Linked DNA regions of Kluyveromyces lactis. The protein of the gene in region 1 interacts with the protein of each later gene in a biochemical or structural test. Links are inferred from orthologs where the notes say so. Each region holds a gene or a part of one and is shown on either strand. Other genes may lie near its edges.

Evidence for each region.
Region 2: the proteins of ATG13 (region 1) and ATG29 form a complex in vitro, tested with the Saccharomyces cerevisiae proteins (2 studies listed by BioGRID). The link is inferred for Kluyveromyces lactis from reciprocal best matches to the Saccharomyces cerevisiae genes ATG13 and ATG29.

Annotation. Positions count from the first base shown.
Region 1 is NC_006038.1:303,842-316,611, forward strand, and holds ATG13 (serine/threonine protein kinase regulatory subunit ATG13), read left to right. Parts: upstream 1-7,968; coding exon 7,969-10,023; downstream 10,024-12,770. Other genes in the region: isocitrate dehydrogenase (NADP(+)) IDP1, read left to right, coding at 1-892; DPM1 (dolichyl-phosphate beta-D-mannosyltransferase), read left to right, coding at 1,482-2,279; PZF1 (Pzf1p), read right to left, coding at 10,174-11,592; DNA-directed RNA polymerase core subunit RPO26, read left to right, coding at 11,992-12,011, 12,143-12,599; MLC2 (Mlc2p), read right to left, coding at 12,711-12,770. UniProt on the Saccharomyces cerevisiae protein: Activates the ATG1 kinase in a nutritional condition dependent manner through the TOR pathway, leading to autophagy. Required for autophosphorylation of ATG1 at 'Thr-226' and its dimerization. May also be involved in the regulation of autophagy through SNF1.
Region 2 is NC_006039.1:853,428-864,670, forward strand, and holds ATG29 (Atg29p), read left to right. Parts: upstream 1-4,977; coding exon 4,978-5,442; downstream 5,443-11,243. Other genes in the region: REV3 (DNA-directed DNA polymerase), read right to left, coding at 181-4,536; SET6 (Set6p), read right to left, coding at 5,431-6,534; TUM1 (thiosulfate sulfurtransferase), read left to right, coding at 6,986-7,885; cleavage polyadenylation factor subunit CLP1, read left to right, coding at 8,198-9,511; APC5 (anaphase promoting complex subunit 5), read left to right, coding at 9,674-11,243. UniProt on the Saccharomyces cerevisiae protein: Plays a role in autophagy. Functions at the preautophagosomal structure (PAS) in order to form normal autophagosomes under starvation conditions. Also plays a role in mitophagy and regulation of filamentous growth.

The DNA.
Region 1 (12,770 bases):
TCCTAGAATCCCAAGATTAGTGCCTGGATGGGAAAAACCTATTGTCATCGGTAGACATGCCCATGGTGATCAATATAAGGCCACCGATCTTGTCGTTCCAGGTCCTGGTAAGTTGGAATTGGTTTACAAGCCAACTGATGGATCCGAGACCAAGACTTTGGAAGTTTACGACTACAAGGGTCCTGGTATCGCTTTGGCCATGTACAACACAGACGAATCCATCCGTGGATTCGCTCATGCCTCTTTCAAATTGGCTATCACCAAGAAATTGAACCTTTATCTTTCCACCAAGAACACTATCTTGAAGAAATACGATGGTAGATTCAAGGATATCTTCCAGGAAATTTACGATTCCGAGTATAAATCCGAATTTGAAAAGTTGGGTATCTGGTACGAACACCGTTTAATTGACGATATGGTTGCCCAAATGATCAAATCTAAGGGTGGATTCATCCTTGCGTTTAAGAACTATGATGGTGATGTCCAATCCGATATCGTTGCTCAAGGGTTCGGGTCCCTTGGTTTGATGACCTCTGTTCTAGTGACCCCAGACGGTAAGGCCTTCGAAAGTGAAGCTGCTCACGGTACCGTCACTAGACACTACAGACAATACCAACAGGGTAAAGAAACCTCAACAAACTCCATCGCTTCCATCTTCGCTTGGACTAGAGGTTTGGCCAAGAGAGGTGAACTAGACAACACTCCAGAAGTCGTCGAATTTGCCAACTTGTTGGAAAAATCCACTTTGAACACTGTCCAAGAAGACGGTATCATGACCAAAGATTTGGCCCTTGCCTGTGGTAACACTGACAGATCAAGTTATGTGAACACCGACGAATTCTTGGATGCTGTTGAAAAGAGATTCAGAAATGACGTTAAATCTCTGCAGTGAAAATGCTTTCAAGAACAGGAGAGTACGTCGATGAATAAGATTACACACATATATGGGCTCTTTTCTTAATAGTAATATTTCTATATAAAACATATAAACGCACAAATAACTACACTAATCCCTCTCTATCCCAAATACCTATTAGAAGTTTCCTTGCAGACTACGGTAGCATAATCCTAAATTGTCGTTCGTTCTATGAATAATAGCTTCTCTTGTCGCTGTCCTAGTAATTTCATTACCCTGCCTCTGTCACATGTACCAGGCTCACACACCTCATTTTTCACCCGATGTTGTCTGTCCTTCCTCAAGTCCAAAAATCGAAAGTGGACAACATGTTCAATATTTTAACAGTTACAAAAGAGAAACATATAAAGAAACATGCCTGACAATTCTTGTAGTTAATACTTGAAGTATTGTTTTTGTTTAGTTGTATTAGAGTACCCAGTCGAGCTTTGTTAGCAAATCACACGCTGTTATATTTTCTTTGGGGAAACAGGAACCTTTTGACTGCTATTATCTATAACTAATAAAGACCGGATATATTTATACCAATTGCTCAAGAAATAAACATAAGATTATACTATAAGAAATGTCTATTGAAAACTCTGTTGTTGTTCCAGCGTACCACGAAAAGCTAAATATCAAGCCATTGACCACCAGGTTATTCCAAGCCTTGGGTAAAGAAGGTTCCAATATCACTGAATTGATCTTCGTCGATGACAATTCCCAGGACGGTTCTGTGGAAGAAGTTGAGGCTTTGAAGAAGCAAGGTTACAACGTCAGAATCATCGTCAGAACCGACGAAAGAGGTCTTTCTTCCGCTGTCTTGAAGGGTTTCCATGAAGCCAAGGGTGAATATTTGGTTTGCATGGATGCGGACTTGCAACATCCACCAGAAAGTGTTCCACAATTGTTGGATTCTTTGAGAACACATCCATTCGTGTTGGGTACCAGATACGCTGCTGGTGTCGGTATCGACAAGGACTGGCCGTTGTACCGTAGAGTCATTTCTAGTGGTGCTAGAGCTATGGCTAAACCTTTGACTTCTGCCTCTGATCCGATGAGTGGGTTCTTCGGTTTGCAAAAGAAGTACTTGATTCACAAGGATGCCAAGAATATTAATCCAAAGGGTTTCAAGATTGCCTTGGATTTGTTGGTTAAGTTGCCAATTCCTCCACAAGAACCTATTGGCGAAGTTCCTTTCTTTTTCGGTGTCAGAACTGAAGGTGAATCTAAGTTGAGTGGGAAGGTCATCATACAGTATTTGCACCAATTGAGAGAGTTATACACCTATAAATATGGTGGCAACAACCTACTGCTGTTCTTCCTATTCTGGACTATCCTAGCACTGTACATTCTGTACCAGGCTTACCACTTGGTATTCTAGTTCTTGAGATACTGAACAAGAACGAACTTTTCTTTATCATAGCAAACAATAATAAACTCTTAATAACTAAATATCCATAAAACCGTATTTCACAAGTGTTCCTAGAATATTGTTCAATGCCCAATCAACTAAAAGGTGGTTTAGCTCTAGTTTACTTTCCTTAATATCTGGGGAATAATACCACCTGACTCAAGGATGATCTTCGAGAAACATTCTCGTTCTCGTTACCCTGATGATGCATAGAAACTTTAAAGGGACGCCCATGCACAAATGATCAAAGAAGTGTAATTTAAAGGATACTAACCAATAGCAATTAATGAGGGGGGGTATGTCGAACGACAAGCAGAAGACTCAATAATCAACTCACAAGTGTTAGTTTATGGGTAAAGTACTTATAAGTTCTTTGAATCTAGGCTATCTGATTATCCGTGTGTTTGCGTTTATTCGGCTTTTAAACAAACATTGTGAGAGTGCAAAGGTTGAAGGGTAACGTGGCACTGATATGAGAGCTGTACTCTTAAGATTGAATGATAATGGTGAGCCACAAGTCAGTTGTTCTTACAACCATGGTGTGCTAACCATGCCATCGCTTCCTATTCTACCGAATAAAGCTCCAGAAGATCCATTGTACACTGTTCGTTTGGTTGTGGCAGCAGGCTGCCCCGTTGCTCGAGATGGTTTAATTTGGACTAATTGTCCCGAAAGCCATGACATCGAATTTGATAGGAACAAATTCCATAAGAAATATATCAAGGCAAGCTTCCATAAAGATGATTTTATTGATTTGAAAGTATTTAATCCGGGGTCTTATTGTTTTTACCTCTCTTATCGTAATGAACAGGACCAGTTGGAAACAACTAGGAAGTTTTATTTTGTGGTACCACCAGTCCTTTACTTGAACGATAAATTTGTTCCCTTAAATTCAATTGCCTTACAGAGTGTAGTTTCGAAATGGATGGGGAAAGATTGGGACCCAATATTTCGCAAAATCGATAACAAGGGATATAACATGATCCACTTTACACCTCTTCAACAAAGAGGAGAGTCCGATTCTCCTTATTCTATCTATGACCAATTGACCTACGACTCCAACTTTTTTAACACCGTAGAGGATGTGAAGCAAATGGTCCAAAAGTTGCATAAAACTCACAACATTCTCGCATTAACAGATGTGGTTTACAATCATACTGCTAACAACTCTCCATGGTTGTTAGAGCATCCAGAATCTGGTTACAATCACATTACTGCACCACATTTACTCCCTGCTATTGAATTAGATAAAAGTCTACTTGAATTCAGTGGTTACATGAAGGCACTTGGATATCCAACGGATATTTCATCTGTAGAAGATCTTATCTCTATTATGGATGGTATCAAAATTCATGTTTTAGGCTCTTTGAAATTATGGGAATTCTATGCAGTAAACATCGATGCTTTATTGAAAGAAGTTGCAGATCAGTGGGATTCGACTCCATTGGAAGCTATAACAGTTCCTGGTGATGTTGAAGATGACTTGGTAAAATTGGCCGGTTTCATTCGTAGCTCTTGTACTAATGATGACTTTGGTTCTTTATCCACAAGATTTGCAAATACCTTGATAATATCCAAGTTTATCACAATTTTGAGACAACTTCATGGGGAAGAATGGAATGGCAATGTTGCAAATGAAGCACGCAAAATTTTGGATGAATTGAATTTACCCTTGTACAAGGAATACGATGAGGACGTTCGCGTAATCTTAGACCAATTATACAATCGCATAAAGTATTTGCGGATTGATGATCATGGTCCAAAGATGGGAAAAATCACTCCTGAATCGCCATTAACTGAGCCTTATTTCACCAGATTGCTTGCCAAAGATGGTAAGGAATATGCATTGGCTAACAATGGCTGGATTTGGAACTCTAATCCACTAGTAGATTTTGCATCAAAGGACTCCAAGGCATACCTACGTAGAGAAGTGATTGTCTGGGGGGACTGTGTGAAATTAAGGTACGGTTCCGCACCTGAGGATTCTCCGTATTTATGGGAGAGGATGTCAGAGTATACAAGACTTCAGGCAACCATTTTTGACGGGTTTAGAATCGATAATTGTCATTCTACCCCACTTCACGTGGGCGAGTACTTCTTGGACCTGGCAAGAAAATATAATCCAAATCTTTACGTAGTCGCTGAATTGTTTTCGGGATCAGAGCAAATGGATTGTATTTTTGTAGAGAAGCTTGCAATTTCATCTTTGATAAGAGAAGCCATGCAAGCTTGGTCAGAGCAAGAACTTTCAAGTTTGATTCATAGACATGGAGGAAGACCGACTGGTTCTTATAAATTCATGCCACTTGATGATTTCCCATATAGTCCCGAATTGGAACTCGATGAAGATTTTGTTGATTATAACAACCGTTTAGGCGATGAACTTAAAAGTCTCTCCGAAATTAAGATCCCAAGATTTTTATCTGCCGCTCCACCTCATGCTTTATTCATGGATTGTACTCATGATAACGAAACTCCTTATCAAAAAAGAACTGTAGAAGATACTCTACCAAATGCCGCTCTCGTTGGATTGAGTTCTTCCGCTGTCGGGTCTGTTTATGGTTATGATGAGATATATCCTCATTTATTAGATGTTGTCAAAGAGAAACGTCAATATTCAGTGGTTAAAGATGATGGTATATCCATTGTGAAAAAGAAATTTAATGCAATTCGAGCAACCATAGCAACGCAGAGTGATGATGCAGAAGATTCCGAAATGCATGTTCACCATGATGGTCAGTTTATCACGTACCACAGAACTCATGCTAGACTCGGTGATGGCTACTACTTAATTGCGAGAACAAAATTCAGTGAGAATGATTATGATCAAAGGTTACCTACCGTCACTCTATCGGGGTCCACTGCAGAACTTCTTTTCAGTTATTCCCTAGTTAAAGATGGCGGTCTGCCTAAAGATGATGACAAGATAATCAAAGGAATCCCCACAAAATTGGTGGAATTGGATGGATTTGTTATTCAATATAATGAAAGTTTAGGTGATACCACGATCAGCTTACCACACGACTTCCCTGCAGGTTCGATTGCTGTATTCAAAACAAAACAATGCGGAGTTACCGAAGACTTAGACGAATTTATTAGAACTGGTGCTTTAAAAGCCTCTGAAAAGTTGAGTTTACATTCATTGAATGCGGTTTTGTACAGATGCAGTGCAGAAGAGTCTGATGTCAGTGCTAACAGAGGAGGTATATATACGGTGCCAGATTATGGTCCACTAGTGTATTGTGGGCTCCAAGGATGGGTGTCTGTCTTAAGAAACATCATATTTAGTAATGATCTCGCTCATCCATTAAGCAAAAACTTGAGGCTAGGTCATTGGGCTCTGGATTACGTGGTAGACCGCCTTGACTATTATAGGGAAATGCCTGGGATTTCTGAAATCCAACAGTGGCTTAAAGCAAGAATGGATCGCGTCAAGAAAGTTCCATACTACTTGGTCCCGCGTTTCTTCGCATTAGTAATTGGTATTGCATATGAGGTTTGCAGATTTAGAGCTATTTACCAGATGTCTGAGAATATTGGTCTCTCAAACCTTTTTGTGCAACGCCTTGCAATGACCTCGGTGCAAATGGTTTCTGTGATGACTTCAACATCTTTATTACCTGATCAAAATGTTTCGTGCATGGCTGCTGGTTTACCACATTTCAGTACACACAATACATGAGATGCTGGGGTAGAGACGTATTCATTTCTTTGAGAGGGTTACTTTTGGCAACAGGACGTTTTGATGAAGCAAAGAACCATCTTCTTGCTTTTGCTAAAACATTAAAGCATGGTCTCATTCCAAACCTTTTGGACGCTGGTAGAAATCCTAGATACAATGCAAGAGACGCGGCATGGTTTTTCGTTCAGTCAGTTCAAGATTATGTTCAAACGGTTCCAAATGGAGAAAGCATCTTGAAGGAAAGGGTCTCAAGAAGATTCCCTAAAGATGACCGTTACATTCAATGGACTGACCCAGAGGCTTTCAGTTACGAATCTACTATTGAAGATATTCTCTATGAAATCGTTTCGAGACATGCCAAAGGAATCAAGTATAGAGAAGCAAATGCCGGCCCAAACCTTGATAGAGTTATGAAGGATGAGGGTTTCAACGTTGAGGTGAAAGTCGACTGGACAAATGGATTAATATTTGGTGGATCACAGTCAAACTGTGGTACCTGGATGGACAAAATGGGTGAAAGTGAGCTAGCTGGCTCAGTTGGTATTCCAGGGACACCAAGAGATGGTGCTGCTATTGAAATCAACGGGTTATTAAAAAGTTGCTTGAGATTCTTAAGTGAGTTACACGAGAAGGGACTCTTTAAATACGATCATGTCGAAAAGCCCAATGGAGAAAAGGTTTCGTTAAAAGAATGGAATGATCTAGTCTTAACAAACTTCGAGATGAAATTCTACGTTCCATCTTCTGAAGATGAAGATGATCGATATGATATCGATGCCAGTTTAGTGAACAGAAGAGGAATTTATAAGGATTTGTACAGATCAGGTAAACCATACGAAGATTATCAATTGAGACCAAATTTTGCCATTGCTATGACAGTGGCGCCAGAACTTTTCACCCCTGACTATGCATACAATGCGTTGAACATTGCAGATGAAGCCCTACGGGGCCCTGTTGGAATGAGGACGTTGGATCCAACGGACTATAACTATAGACCGTACTACAGAAATTCCGAAGATTCGACAGATTTCCACACCGCGAAAGGCAGAAACTACCACCAGGGCCCAGAATGGGTATGGTGCTATGGTTACTTTTTGCGTGCATACCATCACTTCCATTTCCTCTCAAACCCATTAGCTCAAAATCCTTCAAAGACCTTGCCATCGTCGTACCTCTACCAACAGCTATACAAGAGATTAGACGGACACCGTAAATGGATTAGAGAAAGTGAATGGGCGGGATTAACAGAATTAACAAACAAAGACGGGGATATTTGTCAGGATTCATCTCCTACTCAAGCATGGAGTACTGGGTGTCTCCTAGACTTTTTCTACGATTTATGGGACCGATATGAAGATTCGCCTTAATAATTTACTTTTCTCTGCCTAACCACTTACCCTTAAGATTATAAAACAGATAAAAACAATAAAAATCATAAGAAATATATATATGTATATATATGCAAGATCATAGCCAAACTCATACTCATCATACTTATATATTATGCATTTTAAATTTACAAATAACCGAAAACTGCCCCTCCGGTTCTGTTGTCTGGAAATCTTCCTCTTAACCACAAGGAACTGTGGTTCTTTCTCCACTGTCATCCCAAATCTAACGGTTTTCGTTTGTTGATAGTAAAACAAGCCAGAGAAATCCTAAAAAATAAAATAACAAAATAGATAATAAGGAATTTGGATATAAATAATAACTACGTAAATAAGGGAAACCCCTTGAAAGTTGGAACATTGTGAGTCATTAAGCACCAGTTATTTGCCAAAGCAAGTTTTCACATAGAGAGAAAGCTTTTACAGGACAAAACGGTGGAGAGAAAGCTTTTGTAAGTGGTAGGTTCAAATGAACAGAGCGGCTTGAATAAGACATTTTTACATTTGGTTTAATATTAGAGTGAAAGAGATTAGTTGTTCTTACTGCTTTAATAACACTGACCATAAAAAAGAACAGGCAAACTTCAGGATGTCAGAAGGTGAAGTTCAGGTGATAGAACTCATAAATAACTTCTTTCTTAAGTCTGCGCTTCTACTTGAGCAGTCCAAGGTAGCACATAACTTTGATACGGAGGAGGCGCTGAGGGATGGGAATCATTTGTTTAACATTGAAACTCGCGGCGACCCTCTGTTGGAGGCTCAGATCCAGCCCTGGATCACGTTTGATGGAGTGAAGACAATGCCGCCATTAGTAATAGAAACGTACTTGGATCTACGAGCTTTGCAACCCAACCATATGGTGTATCTTCATGACGCGGATGGTAATCCATGGATGGTTTGTAAAGGGGGCAAGAAAACTGAGATTGTACTGGAAAGATGGCTTGTAGAACTTGATAAGCAGACGATAGATGACTCCATCGATTCAAATGATCCTGAAAACTTGCATAAACAATTGGTATTGTTGTTCCGCTACTTGTACACGCTTACCCAACTCTTACCTGCCAACGACATCATTACCAAGCCACACAATTCACAACAGCCCGCACTTATAAATGTTCAAACTAGACTACTTGACGGTTCTAAGCCTATTCTCTCTAAGGGGAGGGTCGGTTTAAGTAAACCTATTATTGCATCATATTCCAACACAATGAATGAAACAAACATTGCTTCACATCTAGAACAACGAAAGATTACACCGATAAAAACTACATTTGGCTCGTTGCGTATCACGGTGTCTTATAGAAAAGATGTCGACTTTTATGTTATTGATTCAGATGATTTACAAAAACGATACATGACACCATCCTTATCTAATGAAACTACCACGGTACCTGATAGAAGGGCTTCATCCAATTGTAGCAGATCTATGTCAGTTTCCCCCAAGACAAATACCATCAATGCGACGCTTTTTCCCCTAGAAGGTTCATCGGCAAGAAGGCAATCCATCTCTTCTAAACTGCAACCTTTTAAAGTTGGATCAGTTGGGAGTGGCTCGTTTGTACAGAGTGGCAGTGCCCAGTCGACTACGAGTCTTGTTCCAAGTTTATCAAGGAATGTTTCGAGTTCATCAGTGGTTGCTGCGTTGAAAGTTCAACGTGGTAGTGCCGGGTCTACTATAGTAAATGGTGATGTACCACCAGAACTTTCTAGTGTTGGTAGCGGATCGAAATATTCTTCATCTTTTGGCAGGATCCGCCGTCATTCTAGTATTAGAAGATCAGAAAGTTTTGACAGGACCGCTAAACCAAGGAAATCCACTGAAAACCCACCGGAAGATTTGTTAGAGTTTGTGAAACTCTTGGAAGACAAGAAAGAGTTGAACATGAAACCTAATACAATATTGCCGCAACAAGATATCTCAAACTCATTGATGCGATTTCAGTCCATGAAAAGTAATAACGATGCTCTTAGCGATAACCTTTCGATGAGTATGTCCATCGACCAGCCTAATGTTAGGTTTGGCTCAAATTCACATTCTCCAATACCTTCATTTTCACCAAATTATGGTTCCATTCCCTCCAGGCTATCTCAAGGTAGTAGAAACAATAGTAATGCGGAATTGATTACCAGCAGGAAAAGCTCATTGGATAGACACAAGCATAATCTATTGAGCAGAACTGGAAGCAACGTTGACATAAACAGGAGAGGTTCTGTAGGAACTATGGAAACGACTAATGAAGATTCTAAAGAGGACGAACAGTCTCACATGAAAGGAATGCACTTCAGCAATGAAGCAACCATAAATAAAGATGACGATGAGGATGAAATGTTAATGAAACGTTCATTTAACGCTGGAACATCTACTACTGAGCAGGTTATGGGGTCGCCCAGATCTATAAGAAGTATTTCTGTAAGTTCTTACCCAAGAAACCAGCTTCCATTGAAACATCTCAACCTCTCTCACCCTACAACATCGGCTACCACTACCCATGCAAAATTTCATAAGAGTGAAATGAGCCCCGACCCACTGCACACAGAAGGAGCACAACCGCATACTAGCTCGCAACATCATAATAGCTCTCAAAAAAATGATGAAGATGATGATTTGTTATTTGTTATGAGTGATATGAATCTAACCAACTAATAATGACATCAATAATTAATATTAATACAATGGTTTCACGACCTCAAACCATTCTTTCAAAAATGCATTTTATAAATAATTTATACTTGAATATATATATGTGTATATATATAGATATAAACATCACATACAAACTTCACCTGAAATTTTTTAAATCTTCCTAGCGTGGTCATTCTTAGAGGATTTTTGGTTCTCGTCCTCAAGAATCTTCATCTTTAATTCATGAATCTTGTGCTTTTCAATATGAGTATCGAATTTTTCTTTTGATTTGAATGTTCTGTTACAATTGGTATATGGACATTTTCTTTTCTGACCCACTGTATTCAATAACAATGATTTGGTTGTCTTCCCTGACTCAATATACTTCTTTATCTTTATTTCTGCTTCAACTGATCCAAGCTCGTCAACTTTCCGTTTCTTTGAGAAAGAGGGGAAATCAAGTAACGTTTTTTTCCCTGAACTAAAACTGTCCTCCGTTTCTGATATCTTTATATCTGTATTCACTTTAATATTCGTATCTTCATCAGCGTCCGTCGGCAGTAATAGCAATTCTGGATCTACATCTTTGTGACTTTCTTCATAATGTTGTACTAGCTGAGTTTTCTTCGCAAATGATGTATCTGGACATGAAGAACATTTCCAATTCTTAGTGACCAAACTCTCGTCATGAATCATCATATGATTCCGTAAACCTGATTCAGCAACACAAGGTTTCCCACAAATAGGACATGGTAATTTCGGATGGCATTGTTTAATATGTTGTTGTAAAGAAGACCAAGTGGAAAATACGTCGGTACATGAAAGAAAGTCACATTGGTACATTCCGGTAGATTCTGGGTTGTGATGCTTATCTATGTGATTCTTCAATCGATAAGGCCTTTGGAACGTCTTGTTACAGTGAGGGCAGGTAAGTTTCTTTTCGTGAACGGACAAGATATGCGATCGGAGTTGTGGATGTTTGTAGAATGATTCGTTACATCCCTCATATGAACAGTGGAAGGACTTCGTATGTGTAATTTCATGTCTCTTTAACTGTTGTCTGGTTGTGACACCTTTCCCACATATAGAACATGTGAAAGGTTTATCATCTGTATGAGAGAACATGTGTCTATTCAGATGCGATTTTTTCGCAAATTCTTTGCCACAAGTGTCGCATTTAAACGGTTTGATTCCATGATGCACGGTGAGCTGATGCTCCGTGAGCAAACTCGGTCTTGTGAACGATTTGTTACACCCTTGATAATCGCAGAAATATACTTTAGAACGCTGTGACGATGAAACTGACACAGTGCTAGTCACACTGGCCATACTCATAACACTATCCATGGACTCTGATCTGGTTAGCGGCGGTGTAGGTACACAACATTGTTGATCATCATCGTTTTCACCAACAACATTCTGCCGTACCTCATTTTCCTTATTGTATGTCGGCGCGACCATCACAGATTCATCAGTAGCTACTACAACGTTGCCTAAATAGTCCATAACTCGGTTGGGTATTCCGTGTATCGGCGTGAATCTCCTTACCCAATCGCACCTCATCGCCTGGGTTTTTTCTATGAATTTCATTTGAATCTTATTTTGTATTTTCAATTAGGGACGTAAAACTGTAATAATCATACAGAATAGACAGGGAAAAGAAGCAGCTACCACCTCCTTCTGAGAACTTCAGTAACTGTGTACTACTAGCGATTCTCAAAGGTAATGCAAGCAAGACAAATAGGATACCATAAATGGGCTGAACCAGTAACATATTCATACAGTTCACCACCTCATCTCGAAAAGTGTTGATAATCGTTTCTTTTACTGTCACAATCGATTTTTGAAAAATTTGGAAAAATTGGAAAAAGCTTCAAATGAAAATGAGCTAGCGAGTAACACAGTAACACGATGTGGACGATAAATTGTCTTATCCAGGTCTTTATTGTTGATCAGCGGCATCAAGGATTAGCATCTTGATAGATAAAGATGTCAGACAACGAGGGAGCGTATGTTATAGCGATTTAATAGGTGTTTTTCCCTATTATTTCTTCGTAGAAGTTGTCTTCATGAATAGTTTTACTAACTAGATGAGTATGCGTTGCTGAATGTCAATTCAAGCACAAACTATCTAATACAGATTTAATGACGGTCCAGAGAACTATGAAGATTTTGACCAAGAGCATTTCTCAGATTACGACGGATTTGATGAGGGCGAGGGTAAGTTTGGCGATGAGAACGGATTAGGCACAGATGAAAACGGGAACACGATAGTTGCTGGAGGATTTGGTCCAGAAGAGTTCCAGCAACAGGAGGCTCGTCGGAGAAGAACTTTGAAGGAGAAGGCTATCGCCAAGGAAGATAGAACTACAACACCATACATGACAAAGTACGAAAGAGCCAGAATTTTAGGTACCAGAGCCTTGCAAATATCTATGAACGCACCAGTGTTCGTTGACTTGGAAGGTGAAACCGACCCATTGAGAATCGCTATGAAAGAATTAGCAGAGAAGAAGATACCATTGGTCATCAGAAGATATCTTCCTGATGGATCGTTCGAAGATTGGTCGGTTGAAGAACTTATCGTGGACTTGTAGAGAGCATACCATAGGCATCTTTAAAATAGAAAACCCCAGAAATATTAATAGTAATATATGTGTATATTATATATGAAAAGACACTGTAAATTTAGATATATCCACTGCGAATCATTCACTGATAGATTGAACGAACTTTTCTCCCTTAAATACTCTTCGGCCAGATACTTG
Region 2 (11,243 bases), on another chromosome or scaffold:
TTCTTACTACCAATCTTGCCTGAGTTGATGTGCTCACTAGCTTTTAACATTCAATTTTATAAAGGAGCTCATCGCTGATCTATAATTTCAGTTGCTCATCGCTTTTGAATTTTTTTGCCGAAATCCATGATGAGCAAAAAGAAAAGTTTTTATTGATTTAAAAGTCACGTGATTTGAAATTCAATAGTCCAAATCTATCAGTCCCATCAAGAGATCTCTCATATCATTATCCTTGAGACCGTTCATGTATTTGAATTTACTGAAGTATACCGGACAGTCTTTAGATTGGCACTTGAGTGCAATTTGGTCCAAAGGTGCCATAGCATCTTTATGAAACTTGTATGAACAGGTTTGACAGGTCCTCATAACAGAATGCATCTTAGACTGTTTTAGTCTGACTGACTCTTCCAAAAAAAGGGTGGTGTTGCTTTTATCGATCCTGCATTCACCACATATAGGACTAATGAATTTTGGGTGAACTTTCTTGCGACAGCGCAGACAAGATTTGCCTTTGACGATTGAAGTCAAAGACCTTCCTTCATGGCTGCCGTCATCAGAGTCTACTTTTAGAGGATTAAGAGTATGTTTCATCGATATATACCAATCCATGATATCAACTCCTACTAACTGGAAAAACCGCTGAAGAGGAGGTATAATGTTTTTGACAATGTAGTATGTATAATCCAACCTAGACGTTTTAGACCTTAAGAAAGCCTCCGGTGAGAGGCATCTAGAGCTCAAAGTTTCACCTATTTTTCCCATTTTCACGACATACGGTACTCTCTGCTTGTATTGGGGTTCTGTACGTGCATCTTCTTCCATCATTTGCATGGCAATTTGGGCACCAGGGGGAGCAGTCTTTTCACTTTTATAATGGCCTAGCTTAACTTCTCTAGCGAAACAGAAATCTTGAATATTAACTCTGCCGGTGATAATTTTGTCAAATTCTCCAATTAAGTATTCTTTTACCATGGATAAATCAGTGGTTTCAAACATAATTCTAAGTGCCTTTTCCACGATTTTTTGTTGTGCTGGTGTTCCATCCCTTCGAACAGTTTCTATACCCTTTGCATCGAATTTTGGTTCTTTTTGATATTCAGACTCATAGGAAAAGCCTACATAACGTTTCTTGGTTACTAAAAAGCACGGATGATACACTTTCTCAAACTTCAACTCTATGGGTTTCGGATTCTGTCTTGTTATTTCTTCAGCGATCTGCCTTCCGATTACAAATGCTTCATCTTTCGATTTCCCTGGAAGGTAAACAAATAAACTATCTGTATCTCCATAAACTACTTTAGCCCCCCATTCTTTAGTAGTTTCTATAACCTCGATCGCCCTCTCTAATGTTTCCCTGCCAGTCTGAACTATACTATCTGCAATGTCGGAACATGGCATACGCCCAGAGAATGAAGCAGATGTGTATCCGTACGTGACATTAGCAAGTAATTTTAAGGCTTCCTGCCTATTATCCAACATATTAATAAGGTTATGTTCATCATTAAGTTCCTTCATAGTACTTTTCATTAGAAATCTCGTATCAAGAATGTCCTTTAACATCTTAGCCAAAACTGACTTTCTCAGTTCTTTTTTGACAAAGACGATACCATTTGGTGAGATGGTGATATAATCAGATATTAAAGTTAGTAAATCTTCAGGGATATCATACCTTGTGATACCTATTTCATTATTTTTAGTATTTAATGATTCAACTCTTCCGATAATAGTGCTGTAACAATAATTATATGCCATAACAATGGATGGGTATAATGATTGAAAGTCTAAAACTAATAAAGGACTCTTGTAAAAGGCAGATGAAGGTTCCATCACAAGTGGTATACATTCGAGTGCTTTTTGGTTACGGACCTGCATTCGGCTTGGAGAAATCAGAATGAATTGTTCTGATTTGCAAAGTCTAATTAAAAAGGATTCAACCTTGTATTGTGAGCCACGGTAAAGGACAGAATAAAAGTCAATCCCGATAAGTCTTGCTTGCTCGATGGTTTTTCCAATTATATTCTGAGTCTCTAAAAGCTTGAAATTTACTCGAAGTCTTGTGATCCAGTAAAATAGGAGACACCTTTTTGAAGTTTCGTCCATAGATTCATAGAACTCTGTCCTGGTTTTGTACGAATAAAAAGGTAACCGTTGGTGTAAAACATGAAATGCAATATTTTCTAATGTATAATCGAGAAGATTCAAAGAAGAGCGGAGAGGCCTCCATATGTTTAGCATTTGTCTTCCCGTTATCGAAAATGCTGTTGCGTGAGTGTAACCCCATCTGTCTTTTTTTTTGCTACTCTGGTTATAATCGACTCGAGAGAGTTCATCTTCCACATCATAATCATGTCCCTTGTGACATCTATCAATCAAGTAGCCCCACGAGGAAGAGTGTATTTCGTATCCTGACAAGATATCAGGATCGAAAAACCTCACTAAATCTTCTAATGCATATATCATTTCCAATTCATCGTAATAAGCAGTTATATGAACACTAGGATCGGCAGTTTTCCATGAATTTTCTGTCGAGACATCGTCTAGAAATATCAAAACACCTTCTTGAGTAATATCCAGGTCGAATGGAAAAGTTCCATCTTGCACTTTCCAAAATATCATCCTGACAGCATCATATTTAGGATCTGGAAACTTATCTTCACGAGTATTGACGTGAATTTCCATGGTGAAATGGGTCATTCTATTAGAAGCGTTATTATTTTTTTCTATTTTATTGCTCTTGAACTTGTATCCGAATGGTAGTTCTGGTGTTTTCCCCTCCACCATCGAGAATTTACCTTTGAAAGGCTTCATCGCATTGGCTATTCTTTTAAAAGACGGCTTTGGTCTTATATATTTCCATCTGCTTCTTGCATATACACTTCCTGAAGAAGTTAATGTTGCTGTTGTATCGTTACTACGGATGCTTCTTTTAAAGAGGATATGATCACTTGATAGCTTGAACACTCGACCAGCCATTTCCGTTTGTAGCCTTTTACAATCAAGTGGATTGGAGAAAAATGGATCGTTATACTGAACTTCTTCAATTTGGTTAGCAGATAAACTCTCCTTGATGTTAGCGTGTGTTACGCTAGGTCTGATCATCGGGCGAAATGTTGACTTTCTAATAGCAGATGTTTTTCGTTTTGCCAGTTTCCTAGCAATTGCTTCATTAGCAATATCGTCATGACATGAAGATTCCTCCGCACGTTTGGAACTGACATGTGAAGAGTGCGATTCATTGGAGGAAATATTTAGCAAAATGGGAATATTTTTAGTGTTTGTAGACGCTACTTTTTGTTCACGAACAGAAGTATATTGGTTGTTCAATTTGAATTCTACTTCTGACCAACAGAATACTTTACTACTAGCATTCCTTGGTATTTTGGGCCATAATTCTTGAAGGGCGTCTTTGGTACTTGCAAAAAAATTCTCATTAATGAAAGGATCCACAAAGTTGTCAAAATTTAAAGCTTTTTCTTTGTTAAAAAGGGAAGACATTCGTTTCTTAGCTTCATCAAAGTGTTTCACCAACCTTTCATCTTCTTTCCAATTATATTGTAATTGAGATTCTCGAAATATTTCTTTTAATCCTTCATATTCAGCAAGCCCTTTCCTTTTCCTAAGCAGTTGTATCTCTTTCCATATATCTTTTGTAGAATTAACATATCCTTGATCTGATGTTTGAAGGTCTTTCTTAAGCTCAACAAAATCATGGTGTAAATCCCTGAATTGAATTTCTTCTCTGTTTAAAATGAACTGTGGAATAATATCCATTTCAAGAAAGGTCTTTCCAATTCGATGAAATGGATCTATGTCTAAAACATTTTGATTCGGATGCAAGTGTTTTTTCAAAAAACGTTCCAAAGAGTCCGTGTGCAATATTTCATTCATATCTAGATCAGTTAACAGAACAGGTTGCCGAAAATAGCATTTGGATAGTTTTAACCATCCGCAACCAAATAAGTTATAGTCAGCCATCATTTGCAATAAATAAGGTATATGAGCCTCAAAGACATCCACTTTTGAGGTGAATATTCTGCCATCTCTAAGTAATTCAGAGAGTTTATTACTATATGAACCATTCAAAAGAGTAATTTTATAGTAAGGTTCATATCCTACGTGGTATCCGTAAAATGGAACGCCTTTGACAACGGACACATTAGCAATGTATTTCAGGGAAGTTAGCTTCTCTTTAAAATCTGTTTTGGTAAAAGTTTCAATCATCCGTGTCTCAAGTATTTTGTGCAAACTGGTACATCTATTCCGTATTACTGATGCTTTATCATTCGAATGTCCGTCATATTTGATGAATATGTAAGGGAAAATGCCATGGCAATGAATTAGAACTTTGTGTCCGGTAGATAAACATCCATAGAACCTTAGTACTGGCACCTGAACAAATCGAAGTCCAGGAAGGCTCTTACTAGTTTTACAATCCAATAGAGTTGGGAAGCATTGATAGCTGTCTGAATTATTAATCTGTATGTTGATTTCATTGGAGTCTAAGCTGGAGTCTAAAGAACCAAAAATATCACTCATCTGCAAGTAATCATCATATCAGATTACAGTCACCTTAATGTAGCACAGTTATATCTTCTGATGTAAACGATGTGAATGGTATAAAAGTAATATCCTTGATTAATGGGTGATATACTGTGACCAAACTTCAGATGAGAAATAGCGATGAGCAATCCTGCAAAGTTGGGCTAAACTTGATTATAGTTGGGTATATTAGTATTCATGATTACCCGGATATTGTGATCATTCTGATACGTAATGAATAATCATATTTTAGCTAAAGTGATTCTCGTATACTGGAGTTGTCCGAGATGAAAGTGAGATCTAGTTGAACAACATTCACCGCAAGTTCCTAATCGAATTTAATAGCAAATGTTACTTTAAATTGTTCTAATCTAGATTCTGTGGTATAGGAAGAAATTTGGTGATTCTATAAAATCCACAGTGTGAGGTGTATTTACAATGAATAATGACAACACAAAAGTGTACGTAAGAGTGGCAGGTAAACGACCTGAAAATTTTGTCGAAACAAAACCATTTATTTGGGATTCTCGTCGAGATAAGATTCTATGGACCAAAATCTCAAAAATTGACTCGTTAGAGGATATGGATTGGCAGGAATTGGGGGCTGATTTAGGTGCACCAGAACCCTTTCTCAAAAAACGGAGTTATACTTTATTTCAAAATCAACTAAAAGTTTTATCGAACCAAATAGACGTTACATCTAATACCCGGTCCTCATCAGAGTCACGAAATTCCGTTGACAACAACATTCTCCAAAATTTACAGGCATCAAGAATAATGAATCATAAATTGGATAAGACGGACAACTTAGCCAATAATCAAGAGTCTAGTAGTGAACTTTCGAATTTAAGTGTGAGCAAGTCAGCACTTGAGGACGCATTGATGGATTGTTTACAACTCTGAGAGGCATCTACTACATTTGCATTCAAAAAACCAATTATCCTTCAATATTGCCCTTCTCCGGTTGACGTCAAGGTGTAATATACCCTTGTAATCAATACAGAGCTCTTCTCCCTTCTGCACATCAGTTTGTAGAATGTATTGAAAGACTCTTTCGACCCTCTTTTTCTCCACGTTAGGCACACAGGAATGGTTAAAATATGAGGCCTCCGGATGAACCATATAACCCAGATATTCCCTATCATCGTCCGACTCTGAAGTCTCCCAAATGCCAAATGAGTTTCCATATTCAGAACCAAGGATATGTCTAAAAACTGATGTTGTCATGATATACCTATACTGGGGAGCTAGAGTATAAACCCATTTGAAAACTTTGATCTGAAACTCCAGTAGAACAGGGAATCTCATTATTTTCTCCACTTCATTTGACTGAAGTTTTTCCCACGTATTCCACTTCACACTATTTCGATCCAAATGTGTCATGTTAAATAAACATTCTATCACAAACCTGATACAGGAATAATGATCCTCATCTATCACTGGAAGTTGGTTGGTGGCCTTGGCAAGTTTCATTTTGGAAACTCTAGGCATCCAAGTACTTTCTAAGTCCATCCAACAACTCTCAATTTCCTGATGCATCCGCTTATTATCGTAGTCTTTATACAATTCCGTATCTGTTTCCACGCACAGGCTTTTACCCTGTATCGATTGGAAATGCGTTAATATCATTTCATAATTCAAAATAAGATCAACAATATTCGGTCCACTTAGGAAGAAGTTTTTACACTCTTCAGTACAAAACCAAAGCCCGCTACCTTTGTACTTCTTCTCTAGTTTATGGTTTAACAAGTTCAAATCTAATTTCAGTAGGTCTGCCCAGCTGATCCTAACTTTCATTGGTTTACCACCGTCATATTTCAGGCAAAAATGGCACACTTCCTTACGGAACTCGTGAGAAATACTAGATCCGATCCACTGGGACAAATCTAACAGATGGGTGCCTTTTAACATGCTATTTGAAGCAAAACATGCCCGGCCGCCATATGCTGTACGTTTTACTTCAATTTTGTCATTAATATATACTTCCGCATTCATCCGTGTCCTGTATTATATCTAACTCCCTCACAATTGGCATATATCCATGAATTCTAGTTCGTAATATATAATTCAGAGGATTTTAAGTGTAGATACCTCTGACCAGTTAACATCATATTTTGCCAAGCAGCCCATCTCATTGCATCTCATCGCCTGAAATCAACGCTCCAAATTCCTTTTGAAATTATATCTTCAACTAGATCAGTAGATTTTAAGAGTCACGTGAACTGTAAACATCAGTTCGCGTGGTAGTCTTTCCACTATCGTGTCAAAATTAGATCTTTGACCACAGCAAAAGTAAGGATAGGAAAGGGGAAGGAACTCACAGTTACGACGTAGAAGGAAATCAGAATTTTGCACGTTGTAGTCGCATTATTTGGCTTGCTAAATTTGATTGTTATTGCTCTACCCAATTGCGTTTCCCAGATCATTGAATTGTTTTTAAAACATCATGACACTTTACAAATTATTAACACCTAAAGCATTCGCAGAATTATTATCCAAGGAAACTAAGCGCCGTATTATCCCAGTAGATTCCACCTGGTATTTACCAAACTTGAACAGAAGTGGGAAGCAAGAATTTTTAGATGAAGAACGTCTAAAAGGAGCTGTTTATTTTGATATTGATGGTGTCAAAGACATGAAATCTGAATATCCTCATATGTTACCAGATCTCAGTACTTTCAATAAATCCATGAGTGAATTGGGACTGAAGAAGGATGATATTTTAGTGGTTTATGATAGAATTGGTAACTTTAGCGCACCTAGATGTGCATGGACATTAGCTGTTTTGGGACATGATCCCGTATATCTCTTGAACAATTTCCCTGCCCTGAAACTGTCTGGGTACCCCGTTGAGACTTCTAAAGTGACAAGTTTTACTCCATATGAAATGAGTGAATACGTGTCCGATGTTGATTTGGCAGAGAAAGAAACAGTTTCCTTTGAAGATATGCAGAAATTGGTGTCGACAGGTGATATTAAGAACTACCAGGTTTTGGACGCTAGAAGTCTTCAAAGATTTACTGGTGAGGCGCCAGAACCTAGACCGGGCCTCAGCTCTGGTCACATTCCTGGCGTTCAGCCATTGCCCTTCCTAGAGGTCTTGAACAGTGATAAAACTTTTACTTCAGATCGTGAGGAAATGCTAAAGAAAATACAAGACTTCGTCTCGCAAACCGGCAATGAGTTTGAAACCGATAAACCAACCATTGCAATGTGTGGTACTGGTGTCACAGGTGTCATAATCAAGACTGCATTAGAGATTTCAGGTGTCAAGAATGTCAGACTCTACGACGGGTCTTGGACCGAATGGGTGATGAAAGATGGAGAAGTGGCTAAAGGAAGTTAAGAGAAATACTTCGATAGAATGAGTGATTTCCCATACACTGAATGTAGGGAAGATGTGAAACATGCAGTACTACCTGAAAGAACAGTAGCTCTGCATCCCTGACACTTGAAAAGAACCCTGCGCAAATCAATAATTGCCCACAATTGGTTTATACTATATTTTCAGTATGTATGCTAGGAAAAATCTGTAATGATATATTGATCAAAATTAAAGTGTTTAAGTGTTAGAAAAGGTTTAATTAACATAGAACAAAAGGTAGATGAGCTGATAGCCCGACCATTACCACTCGCAGGAGAAGCTAGAAAAAAGGAAATGGAGTTTGTAGAATTCAGCGAGGTTTCTGAGACCACTAAGACATCGTCTCTTCCGCAGGGCCATGAATGGACCGTTCAAGTTCCAGCAGGATCAAAGCTAACAGTTATTGTGAAGTATGGGATCGCTGAGATACTGGGAACAGAGCTTGCCAACGATGTGCCCTACACATTCCAAGGTGTAATAGTGAACATCTATGCTATTGAACGATCTATGATCGAATGGAAGTGTTTAGAAGAGCTTGAGCCAAAAGTTTCGGAAAATAAGTCATATCATGCCTACATATACAATCTAAATTTTGCATTAGAAAGATTACGACTCTCTAGTTTCAATGGACCTAGAGTACTAATAGTAGGTAACGCCTCAACTGGAAAATCATCGCTAGCTCAAATGCTATGCTCATACGCGTTGAAGATTAGACATTATCAACCGTTGTTAGTGAACTTGAACCCACAAGATGGTGTTTTTTCTTTGCCAGGTTCAATTACAGCGACACCCATTTCTGAGTTGCTAGATGTTGAAAGTTCTATATGGGGTCAGAGTATTACTACAGGTGCTACCAAGCTCCATAACAAGCAACCTCTTGTTAAAAATTACGGCTTGGAAAATATCAGAGATAATAGACCACTATATTTATCGACGATTACACAACTAGCATCGGGCGTGCAACAGAGATTAAAGAACGATCCAATAGTAAGAAGGTCTGGCGTAATAATTGATACCCCTAAACTTTCACATCTTGACACCGAAGATTGGTCCGAAGTTGGCCACATGATAGAACAATTCGATATTAACGCAATAGTGGTATGTGCAGAAAGTGATGACTTAGCTATCGAATTGAGTGAAGTATTCAGGACTAAAATAGGATCAATTGTAAGAATTCCGCCACCAGGTTCAATTATCGCAATTGATGATATCATGAGAAGAGCTTTACAGAGGGTTCAAATAAGAGAGTACTTTTATGGTACCACAGAAACAGTCCTAAGTCCATACACTATGGGTGCTGGGTTTGAAGAATTAACAGTTTTCAGGCCAAGAAATATCTCTGAATATGGAGAGGATAAAAAGGATGTTGATCTAACAGTATTTGACAAAATTGAAGTCAACAGCTCAAACTTACAGCACGCTATTATCGCTATCACTAATATATCTAGAAAAGAAAGCCAAGATAAACTTAACACTGCATCGATAATCGGGTACGGTTTGATCACAGAAGTGAATGATTCAAAGAAAAAACTCAGGGTATTACTTCCAGTACCGAGTAGAATACCAGATAGAGCTATGATTCTCACCGAGTACAGATACTTGGAATGATTCTTACTTATAATTCTTTCATAGTCATTGTTTACATATTTATGAAAAATGTCAACAAAATCGGATACTTTATTTAATGATAGGATATACACAAATGCGAATAAGATACACCGAAAAGGAAACTAATATATAGAAGCATTAAGATTGCTGCTGAGGTTCATTATGACCGTCGAATTCCAAAAAATTAGGGTAGTAACTGGCTATGATCCGTATGATCTCAGCTGTGTGGCGTTACTCGTATTATATTGCCTAGGGGAAATAAACTTGTCCCTCCATAACATCACACGAATATTACAAATAGTTCCAAATGATGAACTGGATAGCGTTGGGCTTCCAACATTAGAGAATCTAGTTTTATATCTCCGAAAGAACGAGGATAGTCAAACTAAGGCTTCCTTTAAGTTGATCAATCTCATATTTTCTATCTCCAGTTTTAACCACATTCAAGAATTGATTCATCATTTAAGAGATGCAATAATAGTTTCTCCAGATCAACAAGGAGTCCTTTCGAAATTCAGGAGAATTTTATGTCGTTCAAGTGTGATTTGCGAACTTCTACCGCGTGTTATAATAGACTCCAATATCAGCGAATTCTTCGTTGAAGATATTCATCAAATAGTCGAATCTTTTCAGGCATTCAAAACTAGGTTTTTATCCTGTGATATATCAAACATTTACAGAGAGGATATCAACAATTCATCAAATTTGACGAGCAGGATATTCTCACATACTCATACGAATGATTGTTTTCCAGAATCACCTTTTATAACCAATCAAGGTATAGGCAATTCATTGCCATGGTTAATAGTATCAGCAGACAAATTTAAGGTTATATTGAACTATGCCCTCCAAATTTCTATGAAAGACATAAATTTAGGCTCAGAACTTGCTGAAACCATTATTAGATACACAAATTTGAATGATCGAACCCGCTTTCCAGATATTCTACTTCTTGAAATTGTATTGCTACGAAAGTCGAAGAATTACCAGGGAACAATTGACAAAATGTATCAATATTTCGACTACTGCCGAAATTCCAACGTTTCTGTGTCTTCATCAACCAACTTTTCCCATATATGCCAAACATTCACTCTCAGTAGCCTATACCAAGATCATGGCTCACCGGAATTTGCGTTGAAAACACTTCACGAATTAATAGATACTATCAGAGAAAAGTCAGATGTACATGGATTGAGCCATTTGTGGGATATTTTAATCCACCATCTTCTTTTGTACCCAGATGAATCAAGGGTTCTTCAAAAGAGCATTTACGAGTTATTGAGACCTTTCAATGATAAAAAGAATACATCACCCGAAATGTTACAATATTGGTATACATTTCAGGTTGCAATGAATTTACATCAAAATGGTTATATTCCCGATATTTTGGAACTGGCAACCAAGGTAAGCGCTCTTTCTAACTACGGATTGATGGATCATATGAATCGTGTGTCCACTGAGGTACTTTTAATGACATGGTCTTTTGTTGGATTTGATGATATGGCTTGTTGTTTTGGTAAACCTTTTTTAAATAACGTGAAGAAACATAGGCAGCTCACGAATGTTGAAAAGCTACTTGAAGATAAGTACTATTCTGAAGCAATTAAAAAAGTTGAGGCCTTGCTTAATGAAGTGAACGCTAAAAATTTTAGTATTTCTTTCAAATTTGCTTGTACACAAATGAGCATTCGCATCATGCTCGCAGCTGGGAATGCTGCTCGTGCTCAACCGA